2 linked regions of the Bombyx mori genome follow. The protein of the gene in region 2 purifies or fractionates together with the protein of the main gene of each other region. This does not show direct contact. Links are inferred from orthologs where the notes say so. Each region holds a gene or a part of one and is shown on either strand. Other genes may lie near its edges. The genes, in order: serine/threonine-protein phosphatase 2A catalytic subunit beta isoform and serine/threonine-protein phosphatase 2A 55 kDa regulatory subunit B alpha isoform.

What was found.
Region 1: the proteins of serine/threonine-protein phosphatase 2A 55 kDa regulatory subunit B alpha isoform (region 2) and serine/threonine-protein phosphatase 2A catalytic subunit beta isoform purify together in Caenorhabditis elegans (affinity purification with western blotting; 3 studies listed by BioGRID, with this or other methods). This does not show direct contact. The link is inferred for Bombyx mori from reciprocal best matches to the Caenorhabditis elegans genes sur-6 and let-92.

Annotation. Positions count from the first base shown.
Region 1 is NC_085109.1:3,343,982-3,351,062, forward strand, and holds the start of serine/threonine-protein phosphatase 2A catalytic subunit beta isoform, read right to left. Parts: upstream 4,026-7,081; 5' UTR 3,843-4,025; coding exon 3,741-3,842; intron 1-3,740. Other genes in the region: Rack1 (receptor for activated protein kinase C RACK 1), read left to right, coding at 5,658-5,766, 6,026-6,234, 6,486-6,692, 7,026-7,081.
Region 2 is NC_085132.1:3,793,754-3,800,243, reverse strand, and holds part of serine/threonine-protein phosphatase 2A 55 kDa regulatory subunit B alpha isoform, read right to left. Parts: intron 3,231-6,490; coding exon 3,076-3,230; intron 144-3,075; coding exon 1-143. UniProt on the Caenorhabditis elegans protein: Probable regulatory subunit of serine/threonine phosphatase let-92.

The sequences.
Region 1 (7,081 bases), on a different chromosome or scaffold from region 2:
TCAAAAAACAATTTTACAATCAGGAATAAGTCCAAAAGTCCTTCAAAATGTTTTCAAAGAAAGTTATCAATATGTCATTATAACTTAATAGCCTCTGTGACTAAAATGTGTTTTCACTAAGTGAATTTCAATTATAGCATATTTGAAAAATTTCAATCTCTTAATATTTTAAATTACAATATGAAAACAATATAAGTATTGCTTCATATATGTATATGAATTAGGACATTTTGATAATTGCAAAAAGTGTTTATGTTATGTGAGGCCTGTAACAGTGTCACTGCATTAATATCCTCAATTCAATCTTTGATGAAGCATACATTAAGTATGGTCTGAACAGATATATTGCCTGCCTGCCTGCCTATTTCTGCCGTGAAGCAGTAATGCGTTTCGGTTTGAAGGGTGGGGCAGCCGTTGTAACTATACTGAGACCTTACAATTTATATCTCAAGGTGGGTGGCGCATTTACGTTGTAGATGTGTATGGGCTCCAGTAACCACTTAACATCAGGTGGGCTGTGAGCTCGTCCACCCATCTAAGCAATAAAAAAAAAAAAAAAAAAAAAAAAGATATTTATTAATAACTATGTTATTGATAAACAAATATGTAGTATATCTTTGTATTTACTGGTGGTGGGGTGTACTGTCGGCCTACACAGGTAGAAAGTACTATCCCTGTCTATCATCATTTATTAGGATTAACTTAATGCTTAATTAACCCCAGATGAGCCATGAGCTCATTCACCCATCAATGTAATGAAAATATAATACCAAAATCTGGAATCTTGATGGATGGATGGAATCGTTTACAAAAATTTTGGTCTCCTCAAACCACTAGAAAATTTAACTAGTTAAAAATGAGTCGACTATTATCAAAGGCGGCAATCTGACTTTTGGACAATGATTGGTAAATCAGAAAAACGAATTATTGACTTTGTATTCCATTGGCAGTCACAAAACTCTTCGGAACGACATCTTAGATAAATAACAGGTTAAGTATTAACCTTTATTTAATGCAGGTTTTGAACCGTATTCTTTGAAGGAGACGATTATATTCAAATAAATCTGCATTGACATATCAATAAAAATTTTTTGTCCAAATGTACAGATTGCCGCCTTTGATAATAGACGACTCAAATACAATATTTAATCACATTTTGGACTAGATCCATGTAGATTTTCTAGGCACGTAAAACTAAGGTGGTAGCATTTACAAAAGTAGTGTCTAATTAGAACAAAATTCAAATTATGTTTATCCACACTTTTTATATTATTATATGGGTGGAAGGGCTCACGACCCACATGGTGATCAGTGGTTACTGGAGCCCATAGACGTCTATAACGTAAATGCGGCCACCTACCTTTACCTATGAATTTCACTAGGTCACTGTACAGTAGAATGGCTGTCCCACCCTTCAGACCGAAACACATTACTGCTTCACCAAAGAAATAGGCAGGGTTGTGGTACCTCTCCGTGCGAACTCATAAGACGTTTTACCATTAATTATAAGGTTGTTTGAAATTCTATATTATTTAACTTTTTAACATTCTAATCTTGCAAGCTCTTCAGCTTCAGCAAGCTCAAGCTTGCAATCTTTTTCTTCCAAATTGCTATGTAACAGGATTAATCAAGGATCATCAGAAGTTTTTGTAAGCCAAAAGGATAATGTGTACTCATATCAAGCAAATCCAGGGTTCAATCTCACCAGCAGTTGTCAGTTATTTAAACAAATACTTAGTAAGTATATTACTTAAATGATATCCATGATAAATGATTGTGTATTATATACTAATTACAATCTACAAATTTGCATAATTCCTGGTAGTGGGTTGATTTGTAGGCGTACACTAGTATTTCGATATGGGCGATAGGGCAAGGTAAAGCCGCCGTTGCCCGAAACACGTCTTGTCGGATCCCCCTGATCTACTCTCGGTGTTTTAAGGCTCTTCAAGCACCGGTCATCATTAATCATCAAACTTGCTGATTATGATGAAGAGTTCGACAAGTGAAATAACCCGTAGACACAACCAATCGAGTTTCTTGCAGGATCTTCTCAATGGGTCGCAATTCTGATCCAGTGGTTGCCGATACTGCAAAGCACTGCTCTTACAAGGGCTAGTGCTAGTTCTCCCAGGTTGTACCAGTGGAGTGTCATGTACCCATCCGCGTGTAACTGGAATAGCCCTTTAGGCTACCAGCAAATAAACAGAGATATAAAAAAAAAAGTATTTAATACTATCCTGCATATTTCTGGCATAATGCAGTAATTGGGTGGGATAGCCCTTTGAGATAACTGAAACTTCAAACCTATATCTTAAGGTGTGTGGCATTTATTCCAATATATGTTTACTCCAATAATCAATGAAGAATTTATTGGTCATGATTATTCAATCATCTGAACAATAAAAAAAATCAGTAGCCAAATAGGTAAATATTGTACAGAGGAAAAATGTTAATTTTACACAATTTCATCAGTCTTCATTCTCAGCTAAACACAGTTTTCATCTTAGGTTTGCTCAACACTTATCTACAAATGTTCATAATGTAGAATTTTTTACTTGTGAATCAATTTCAATTATAAAAAAAAATTATGTTATCTAAAGTACATCACAATATGGCACTTTAAACCACATACAAACTAAACAATTCATTTCATTGTCAAACACATATGCAAGATTTTATATGTAGTTTGTATGTAATGTTCACAGATGAGTTGATCTATAAAAATTCTTCATACTCTAAATATCAAAATATTTATTGAGTTTGAAACAAAAAAAAAAACATCATAGGAGCTTTAAGAATTGTTTTTTTCTTTTATCTTCAAGTTATTTTAATAAACAGAAATTTAGTTAGAAAACTTTAATTGAAAAATAATAATTAATAGATGAGCATAGAACTATTTAGAAGTCAAACAATTATAGGTGCTTGTTGGTAATGGATCTTTGTTACTTAAAATTGTATAATTCTCTTTTTGACTTTCTTACTGTAACTAAAAATGTAGAATGTAGAAATAATTACATTAAAATAATGAATATTTGAATTAATTGTTCAGCTGCACCCTCTACAATTGCATTTACATTATATTGTAGGTCTAGGCACTGCAAAATCAGGTCAAAAAAAACAGGTGATGGGAACAACTGTATGATGTTCTGTTTATTTAAAAAAATTATAATAATAAAGATGTTGGTGGAATCACAGAACATGATGCACTTCCTACATTTTTACTCCAGTGACTTAGATGACATTAAAACAAACTTTACATCATAATTCAATTGAACCAACATTCTGTTTATTTTTGTTTAGTTTTTTCTCTTATCTATCATACAAAAAACAATATTCATGCAAACATTTAATAACCTTTCTAACCTATTTAAACAATCCTAAATTGGACATAAAATGGATAATGTTAATTGATTAGCAGCTTCCGTGCATGTCTAAAAATATCTTTCGAACAATTAGAATATTAAGTAACTAACTATGAACAAAAATTGGGTGTGGTAAACAATATCAATAATTTAGAACTAGCGTCGCAATGTTGTAGAGCCCCCATATTTTCAAACGATTACCAAACCAACGACAACCAGCTTCCCAAGACCTATCCGAAGAATACCGATACCCGATAACTTCTTGAAATGTAGGTACATGAATCATACAACTTAAACATTCAAATTACACCTAAGATTTGAATTTTAACTGAATATTAGCGACAATTAGATAAGCGAAACTATCATAGTACATACCTTGTCACATAACGTTTTAACTTGATTTTCTGTCAATTGCTTGCATTCATTTAGCTGTTGTATCCATTGATCTAGTTCTTTAAGCGACGCCTTGTCCTCCATTATAATTATGTGTGTGATTAACGTACAAGACGTTAATTCAAACTTTGGCTTTTATTAGGTATTTAATGTACACAAAATCATGCGAAATAACTATTTTACACTTTTTCAAAAAATTGACTAAAGCGGACACTTTACAAAATGGCGTTTGCGTGACGTCAATTTTCTCAAGAAGAAGAGCTCTAGTGGTCAAAAATGGAACTACCATGTGGTGCCATTTGATTTTTAGCTGCGTTCAGATTTTTTACCTTTTCCGATTAATCATTAAGAATTTAATTTGATATTAACAAATATCTTAAAATCCGAAGGAAAGTCGATAAATATATTTTCGTCAAGGCCTAAAAAATAAGGTGTCTGCTCTACTTATCACCATATTAAGCGATGCGTACATGCTGTGGTGTTCAAAATTCCACAGGTAGTTACCCAAAAGTGGGCACTCGTTATGCAGAATTAAGACTTCGAAGACAAGTCGTCGTGATCTAAAGGATAAGACGTCCGGTGCATTCGCATCCAGCAATGCAACGGAGTTCGAATCCTGCAGGCAAGTACCAATTCTTGTAATGAAATATGTACTTCACAAATGTTCATGATCGACTTCCACGGTGAAGGAATAACATCGTTTAATGAATATCAATCCAGTAAAAATTGAAATTTGCATAATTACTGGTAGTAGGACGTCTTGTGAGAGCGCACGGGTAGGTACCAGCCTGGAGCGTACTCTGCCTATTTCTTCAGTTTGAATGGTGGGACAGCCGTTGTAACTATACTGAGACCTTAGAACCATATATGTATATATATACACATAGGGATGGGTATAAAGAAGTTTTACTTCTTTCGTGTGATAAAGCACGCTCGGTTTTTCGATAACCGTACTCGTCGAACTCGACAAAGAATTCGACTTGCAACCTAACCTAGGCATTAGCTCGCTGAGTTTCTCGCCGGATCTTCTCAGCGGGTCGCGATTCCGATCCGGTAGTAGATTTATTCGTGAAGCAGCTGTTCTTGAGTTTGTGGCGTTCAATAACGCACCTTTTTATGATGCGTACGCCAGAATGCACGAGAGGTAAAAGAATTTAGTCTGTGACACGGGACCTTTTTACCGCCGAAAATTTAAAACGTAAAAATAATTTATAATGTGTTTAATAACTAATGTAATATAATTACTTAGAATTGTTTATGTCGCTACAACAATAAAATTTATATTGTTTCAACTGTGGTGTTAATTATATAAAACACGACTTTACGGCGAAATAAAGAAGGGACTCTATATGAGCTCCCTCAAGTTGTTAGGTCTCCTTTGGAGGCGCTCGAGTAAATCCCACCCTTTCTGGCTGAGCCCTTGTTCGCCCACCTGCCCTGGTAAAACTGGAAAGGCCTCCGGGCCACCGGTAATTTCTCAAATATAAAAAATTGTTTTTTTTTTAAATCGTGCTTCACACTCGGCAGTAGTAGACAGATTTTTCGTTTCGATTTGTGGCTTCAATTTGTCTCGGACGCCGGCCATTTGCCCCAGCGAGTAGTAAATCAATTTCGAGATTTCCATTTAAAAATCACAAATTACCTTATAGTAATGGTCTCTTATTCAACTACGGGATTAATAATTTAGAAAATTGATTTCATAAATCATCGCGATGTTTTACAATCGATGTAGTCGACTAGGTCAACCCTGAAAAGTTGTCGCCTCTTTGACTCGACTGATTTGGGCATCTCTAGTTCGCGGTCGATGGTCGGCCATCACCGTAGGTTTCGTGTTCTTTTAACACGTGCTACCGGACCTGACGCTTCAGGGAGTCGTCGCTCTTCAAACCATTTTCAAAAATGTCTGAAACATTAAAACTCCGAGGAACTCTTAGAGGCCACAATGGCTGGGTTACTCAAATTGCAACTAATCCGAAATACCCGGACATGATCTTATCTTCCTCTCGAGGTAAGTTTGCTAATAAATCCAGATACATCTTTACAATCATTATCTCAATAACCGTGCAAATATGCAATAACCTGGGTTAAATACGTATCAGTTTTCTTGTATACTACCATTTACCAACAAAATAACATGATGAGTAAAACTTTGCCACGCGATTGTTGTGAGCGGCAAGCGGATATGGGGCTGAATATTTTGTTACTGTAGGATCCAATATACATATAGAAAATGAGACATTCGAATAAAATTTGAAATTTATCTTCAGACAAAACTCTCATCGTGTGGAAGCTGACCAGAGACGAAAACAACTACGGTATACCTCAAAAGCGTTTATACGGTCATTCGCACTTCATTTCTGATGTTGTGCTGTCTAGTGACGGTAATTACGCCCTTTCCGGTTCTTGGGACAAGACTTTGCGTTTGTGGGATCTCGCTGCAGGCAAGACTACCAGACGATTCGAGGACCATACTAAGGTGTGACAGAACTCTTAATTTTGTTAGGGTGTAAATGCTGATTATGCACTGAAGATAATCCTAAGTGCCTATGCGAGGCAGAAGACCAGTGTTTTGTGCCTTTGCGAGGCAGAAGATTGTGTTTGTGTTGTAAAAGTCTGAGGTAAGATGGTAGTATAATTATAGTATTGTAAATATACCGACCATCATACAACAGTCTGTTAACAATTCTAAGTGTAGTTGAATTGATAAGTTTTTTGTTTATATCACAGGATGTACTCTCGGTAGCCTTCTCAGTTGACAACCGTCAGATAGTGTCTGGTTCTCGCGACAAGACTATCAAACTCTGGAACACCCTTGCGGAGTGCAAGTATACCATCCAAGATGATGGACACAGCGATTGGGTGTCATGTGTCAGATTCTCACCCAATCATGCCAACCCCATTATTGTATCCTGTGGTTGGGACAGAACTGTCAAGGTTAGTGTACTATTTATGAAAAGGGTTATAAATTGCCTTGATTCCTTCAATGCTTAGATGTATCAAAAGTCTAATCTAGTTCGTTAATTATCGTTTAGCGTTCACAGCTGTTGAAAAATATATTAGGTACTTGTCTCATCCAAAAAAAAAGACTTCCTGAGGAATACCTAAAAGCTAATATACAAATCCTCATGAGCCTAATTATAGATTTTTCATAATTCAAATTTAAGTAAATATGAATGTTCAGCTTTATATTAAAGTTCTAACAAATAAAAAACTTATTCTAGGAATCTGTTTATATAAATCTTAATCAATGGTTTTTTTTGTGCACAGGTCTGGCATCTCACTAACTGTAAGCTCAAGATTAACCATTTGGGTCACTCTGGCTA
Region 2 (6,490 bases):
CTCTTCAGCCACCTGATCTTGTTGATTTTCTCTTCGATCTCAAGGGACTTCAGGTAATCGAACTCTGGTTCGTGGGATTGAAACGTCGAATAAACGTTGTATTCTCCTTTTTTGGGTACACACTGCTTTGATGCTGGATCTCTCTGAAATTTAATTATATCAAGGATAAATTATGTGGAGAAAATGTATTCATCTACTAAATTTGTTTTTTTTTTTAATTCACTATAGGTACTGTTTCGATTGTGCTTTGACCTACGTAAATTATTTTTCCAAGATTGTATTTTTCCCTACCTAAGCTTATAGCCTTGAGAGGCTATTTCAGTAACCCAACTAGTAGGTGAGCTCACGGGGCTTAAACCGGAGTGATGCTAACACTGACCCTAGCAAGAGCAGTGCTTCGCAGAATCTACCACCGGATCGGAAACGCGACCCACTGAGAAAATCCGGCGAGAAACTCCGTGGGCTGTTTCTATGGATTAATTCGCTCGTCGAGCCCTTCGTCGCAAGCGACGGGTTCGACGAGGACGGTGACCGGGGTGATTGATGTAAAATAAGCTATACAACATTTGTAGAAAATCGATCGTAAATATATCAACTAGCATATATTATTATCATGTAATAGAAGAAATAATCTTACAAAAAAAAATGCTTTCAAATTCAGTGGCCCTCCTTCATAGAGATGACGGATAACGTAATTAAAAATAGTTACTACACGCGTTCACTTCAAAGAATCGACTTTACGACGTTTTCCGACGTTCGTGTCGTAAATATTTATCTTGATTTAAAACTATCGTGATCACATCGTTACCAAGTAGTTGTATATTTATTTTATCAACGTTTTTTTGTTGTTACAATGAACAAGAACTTAGTAACAAATAGTAAGGAAAATAATTTTTCACGCAGGGTACAATGCAGTAATATAACCATCCTCCTAATTTAAGACGGGTGGGTAGTGTGAAGGTTTCACACAATAACGTCTCAATATTGCTGTCTAAAAGTCTTATTCTACTACCGTTTATCACACCGAATGAATTTTAATATATTTATAAAAAAGCAAGCATGTGTAGTATCTAGTTTGGCAAATTAATATTTGTTATCTGCTTATGTTAGTCTTATGTATCTACACCAATGAATTTTTGCCCTCTATACCTTCCTACAACATCCATGGGATGATAATGGAACTTGGTATAATGCTTTTTGTTACTCTAGAGAATGTTTTTGTTATATTCCCATCAAAGCATTCTCATTAACACATTTTTTTACACACCAACGGATTATGATTTAAAGGACAAAACCTGATTTTTCGAATTATTTAAGAATGGCATATTATTTGAATGGATTATATTTAAAAAAAAAAACGATAGAAATTTGAACAAGATGCTCGTATTAAAATCTTATAACAAAACGCAGAAAATTAAATCCTTTGAATATAAGAAGTGGCATATCAAATCATTTGAAACAAGAATTTGTGTGTTTAATCTTTGACTTGAATTCAAAAACTTTCACTTGTACAACTTATTTCGACTTGCAAAAATTCAACCCAAATTACATTTTGAAGTCGTCGTGGCCTAAAGGATAAGACGTCCGGTGCATTCGTATGTAGCGATGCACCGGTGTTCGAATCCCGCAGGCGGGTACCAATTTTTCTAATGAAATACGTACTTAACAAATGTTCACGATTGACTTCCACAGTGAAGGAAAATAACATCGTGTAGTAAAAATGAAACCCGCAAAATTATAATTTGCGTTATTACTGGTGGTAGGACCTCTTGTGAGTCCGCACGGGTAGGTACCACCTCCCTGCCTATTTCAGCCGTGAAACAGTAATACGTTTCGGTTTGAAGGGTGGGGCAGCCGTTGTAACTATACTGAGATACCTTAGAACTTATATCTCAAGGTGCGTGGCGCATTTACGTTGTAGATGTCTATGGGCTCCAGTAACCACTTAACACCAGGTGGGCTGTGAGCTCGTCCACTCATCTAAGCAATAAAAAAAAAACATAATATAGATAAGAATAATTCTCAACAACCCAGGTTTGCTCACGAACCAGCAACATACAGTCATTGTTATGTAAATGTTAGCTTTGATACATTATGATTAGATACGCAATCAATTTTAAATGTATTCAGCACGCTTCAACCCAGAGCATCTTATATACTTTATCTGGCTATTGCTCCTACTATATAACCTCATTGTCGGTTTTGTAGTGGTATCGTCAATAATTTTTTTTTATATTCCTCAACTTCAACTCCAGTATCATCAGTACTTGATGTGGAACCCATGTTTTATCAATGCAACCGAGACTAAAAACTTCACGATTTTAAAATTAGTACAAAGAGTGTTAAATATTAGCATAATCTACATACGTATAATACAAGCTCGTCTGGTGTCGATACAATAACAAATGCACGAAGAAAAAAAAATTGAAGTTCTCTAATACAAGCGGCGAGATTATCGTATGCGATTATCATGCAATATATGACTCTCACTTTCAGCTGTTTACACGATGATAAAGCTGGTATCAATCAAAATTTAATTTAAAAGACGGCACACGCTTTTTTTTTTTTTTTTAATTAATTTTTTTTTAATTCTTTATTAGAGCCATACACCTATTAGGTTAAGTCGGCTAGGCACACGCTTTAATAGTTTCAAAACGTATGGTACTTTATACTAGCCATAAAGATTTCATACAATCAGTCACTAATAACCACAATACATATCGAGAAAGTGTCACCTACTCGTGTTCGAGTCTCCTTCTGTAATGATATATGATATAATAATATGATGTCAGGTATATTACCTGTTTTTTTTTTATTGCTTATATGGGTGGACGAGCTCACAGCCCACCTGGTGTTAAGTGGTTACTGGAGCCCATAGACATCTACAACGTAAATGCGCCACCCACCTTGAGATATAAGTTCTAAGGTCTCAGTATAGTTACAACGGCTGCTCTACCCTTCAAACCGAAACGCATTACTGCTTCATGGCAGAAATAGGCAGGGTGGAAGGTACCTACCCGCGCGGACTCACAAGAGGTCCTACCACCAGTAAAATACCAGTACCAGTAAAATTACCTGAAATATAACAACTCTGCCGCCCTTATCGCCGGTGGCCAGCAGTTCGCCGTCGTGGTTGAACTCTACACAGGATATCAGGTCGGCCTCCGTCACGTCATCCTCGAGGGTGCCTTTCACCTGACTAAAACACCACGTCGTCTCCCCACCATTGCCTAGAACAAGAAAAACGTACACTGTTACATTTAGGACATTCTACCCCCCTTTTTAGAGAATTGTTTTTGAAAAGGAATTCACAGTAGCTTGTTTACTCTACTCTTTAAAATGTTATATGTGGTAGGACCACTTGTGATTCCGCGCGGATAGGTACCACCGCCCTGCCTATTTCCGCCGTGAAGCAGTAATGCGTTTCGGTTTGAAGGGTGGGGTAGCCGTTGTAACTATACTGAGACTTTAGAACTTGTATCTCAAGGTGGGTGGCGCGTCTGTTGTAGATGTCTATGGGCTCCAGTAACCACTTAACACCAGGTGGGCTGTGAGCTCGTCCACTCATCTAAGCAATAAAAATAAAAATACAATCGACTTGAAATAATATCAATTTTCATTAGTGAAAGTATAATAGTTGTTTAAGCCCTACCTTCTTCAACCAGTGTTCACCCAATACTGAGTGTAGGGTCTATCCAAATGCCCTACACTGAGGTCTAATTAAAGACAGGTTACTCTTTATTTCAATACAACTGAAAGGTCGACCTTTGTGTCACAAAGTGGGTGGTGGCTTTCAAATTATGATATTTATAGTGTCTAGTAACCATTTAATATCAGGTGGGCAATAAACCAGCTAATTTCTCAATGATACTATATTACTTGTGGACAACTGAATTAACTTACCTAAAATTATACATTAAATACTGGTGAATTATAAATATGCAAAACCAAATTTTAAATAATAATTAAAATTATTCAACTACTACTTAAAACTAGTTATATCGGAATCAATAGATGTTAGTAAAGATAAAACTGTAAATGCAATGTATGCTAAGATATAAATTTATAAAAAGGAACTATGATGTTATTTATATACATAGACTTTAAAGGGAAACGTTTATGTTTACATATAAAAATTAAATTTTAATTCCCTCCAAAATCCATGTTATGTTAAAATGAAAATAAAGATAGAAAATTAAAAACAATATCAACATATTGACATTTTCTACTGTTTTATTGGTCACACAATACAAAACTGTTAGTCACATTAAAATTCGGTAATCAGTAATTTAAAACGAAGGAATGTTAGTTGAGAGCATATGAGAAAGCGCAAAAGGTTCTTGCAACACTATTCTTACTCTCAACAAAACTAGTACCTAGTGTTACCCCATCATTTAATTTCATTTAGTACTTTTTTCATTTACGGTCACTACAAAATATACCATCAATACACTATAATACCAGAAGCTACTACATATTTGATAGTTTCATATCATGGTAACTACATACAGTCACATAGTGTATTCCAATGTTGACGACACGATGAATGCCTCCAATTTGCAATATTATCCTGTATCCTTATACGACGATTTGAATACCAGGGCACTTCTTTCTTTTTTAACATTTTCATTGAACTAAAACTTATTAATAACACTCCGACATAGTAAGTCTGAGATTAATGCACATTTTACAATATATATATATATTTTAGGAACACTATTCCTGTACAGCTTTAAGGCATGCCTGTAAGGTAAATGATGATTAAAAGTCGCATTTCCCAACCTGTTTTCTCATCAATTTCGTTATACCATACACATAAAAGCGTATATTCTTACGGTAATACTATATACTCTTTTGTGCGCGTTTTGTAGGGTGGTTTAAAACAATGAAACACGTACAATAGGCACAGCGACATGTGACGCATTCCGAAAGAAGTGCAAATGAAACGGCCGTGTAATTGAATGCTATAAATAGCTGACAATTATAATGTACTCATTCAGATGCATTCCGTACTTAAACTATAAATCTAGTTTCAATGGTTTGACTATATACACTAGTAATGAATTTTCTGTGGCCTAATAGATAAAAGTCCAGTGACTAGCAAGTGAATATAATATAACTTTTACTGCTGTTCAAAAACTGAGACGGTTGCTTTTTTTTCTGAACTAATATTTATCAATGTGTAGTATGAAACTCGTGTCATAAAAAAATACGAAAATTGATAAAATTAAACGATCGTTAGGAATAATGCGAAAGCGCACGTATATTCAGGCTCACTTCCACCACTGAAATTCCTGTGTAGCCATGATTGAAGCGTCGACCAGGAAAAGATTGAACCATGACGTCGAGGCAATTAAGTAAAGCTAATTTGAATCGGATCCAACATCGAAATAAATTACAAAATAATAGGAGGCGTAAGAACTTAGATTTGAACTTCGTTCCCCACAAAGCGGAGCGGAAAACAAGAAATGGCTGAAAAGCACTTAGCCAGAAACGAAGAGCAATTAGGAAGAAAATACTCAACTATCACCATGACTGGATTTAAACTTAATGCCACTACTGGGCGCGAATAACGGATGAATTGAATTATCAATTAAACAGAAAATTGTTAATAAATAAAATTAATTAATTATATTGAGCAATCTTGATAAGGCACAAAAAGTTTTTTTCATTTTCAAAATTTTGCCGCCCTGGGCACTCGCCCTGACTGCCTCTAGCATAAATTCACCATTGACCATCACGAACCATTTTGAAGTCGTCTAGGCATAAAGGATAAGACGTCCGGGGGAACGCGTGTGAACAATGCGACTATGCAGCTTTAAATCTTTATATTATCTTTAAAGCTGGTACTAACTTTTCTAATGAAATACGTACTAAGCATGTATTCATAAACAACTTCAACAATTAAGAAATAACAATATGCAATACCATTCAAACCCGCTAAAATTATAATTTACATAAAAATTGGCGGTGAGGCGCCCATCACTCGGCCTATTTTTGCCGCATAGCAGTCATGGGTGCCTGTTTTAAAAGCGGGACGGACCCTTAATGCCCGCTGAGTTTCTTGCCAATTCTTCTCAGGACGGAGGCTAGTTCTTGTGAATTGGCGGTAGTTCTTTTGACGTTCAACAAGTATGTACTTTCATTTATGTTGAATAAAAATTTTTTGATTTGATTTGATTTGATTTGATTTAAACTAGACAATTTAATATCAGCACAGAATGGAGCTGCCTATTTACAACTATCAAAAATAATTTTATTTTTACAGAAATAGGTTTAATGGATTTATTTTAATTCATATTATCTTTGAACTTATTTTAAATGTCTATACAGCAATATTATAGACTAGATGATAATATCTGTACACTAGCCAGGTCTCAAGAATTTTATACATGTAAGAGAAGGCAATAAAATATTGTACAACTTACCTAAAGTAGTTCAAAACTATTAACAACATTACTATGTAGTGGAATGTACAGTAGAGATTTTT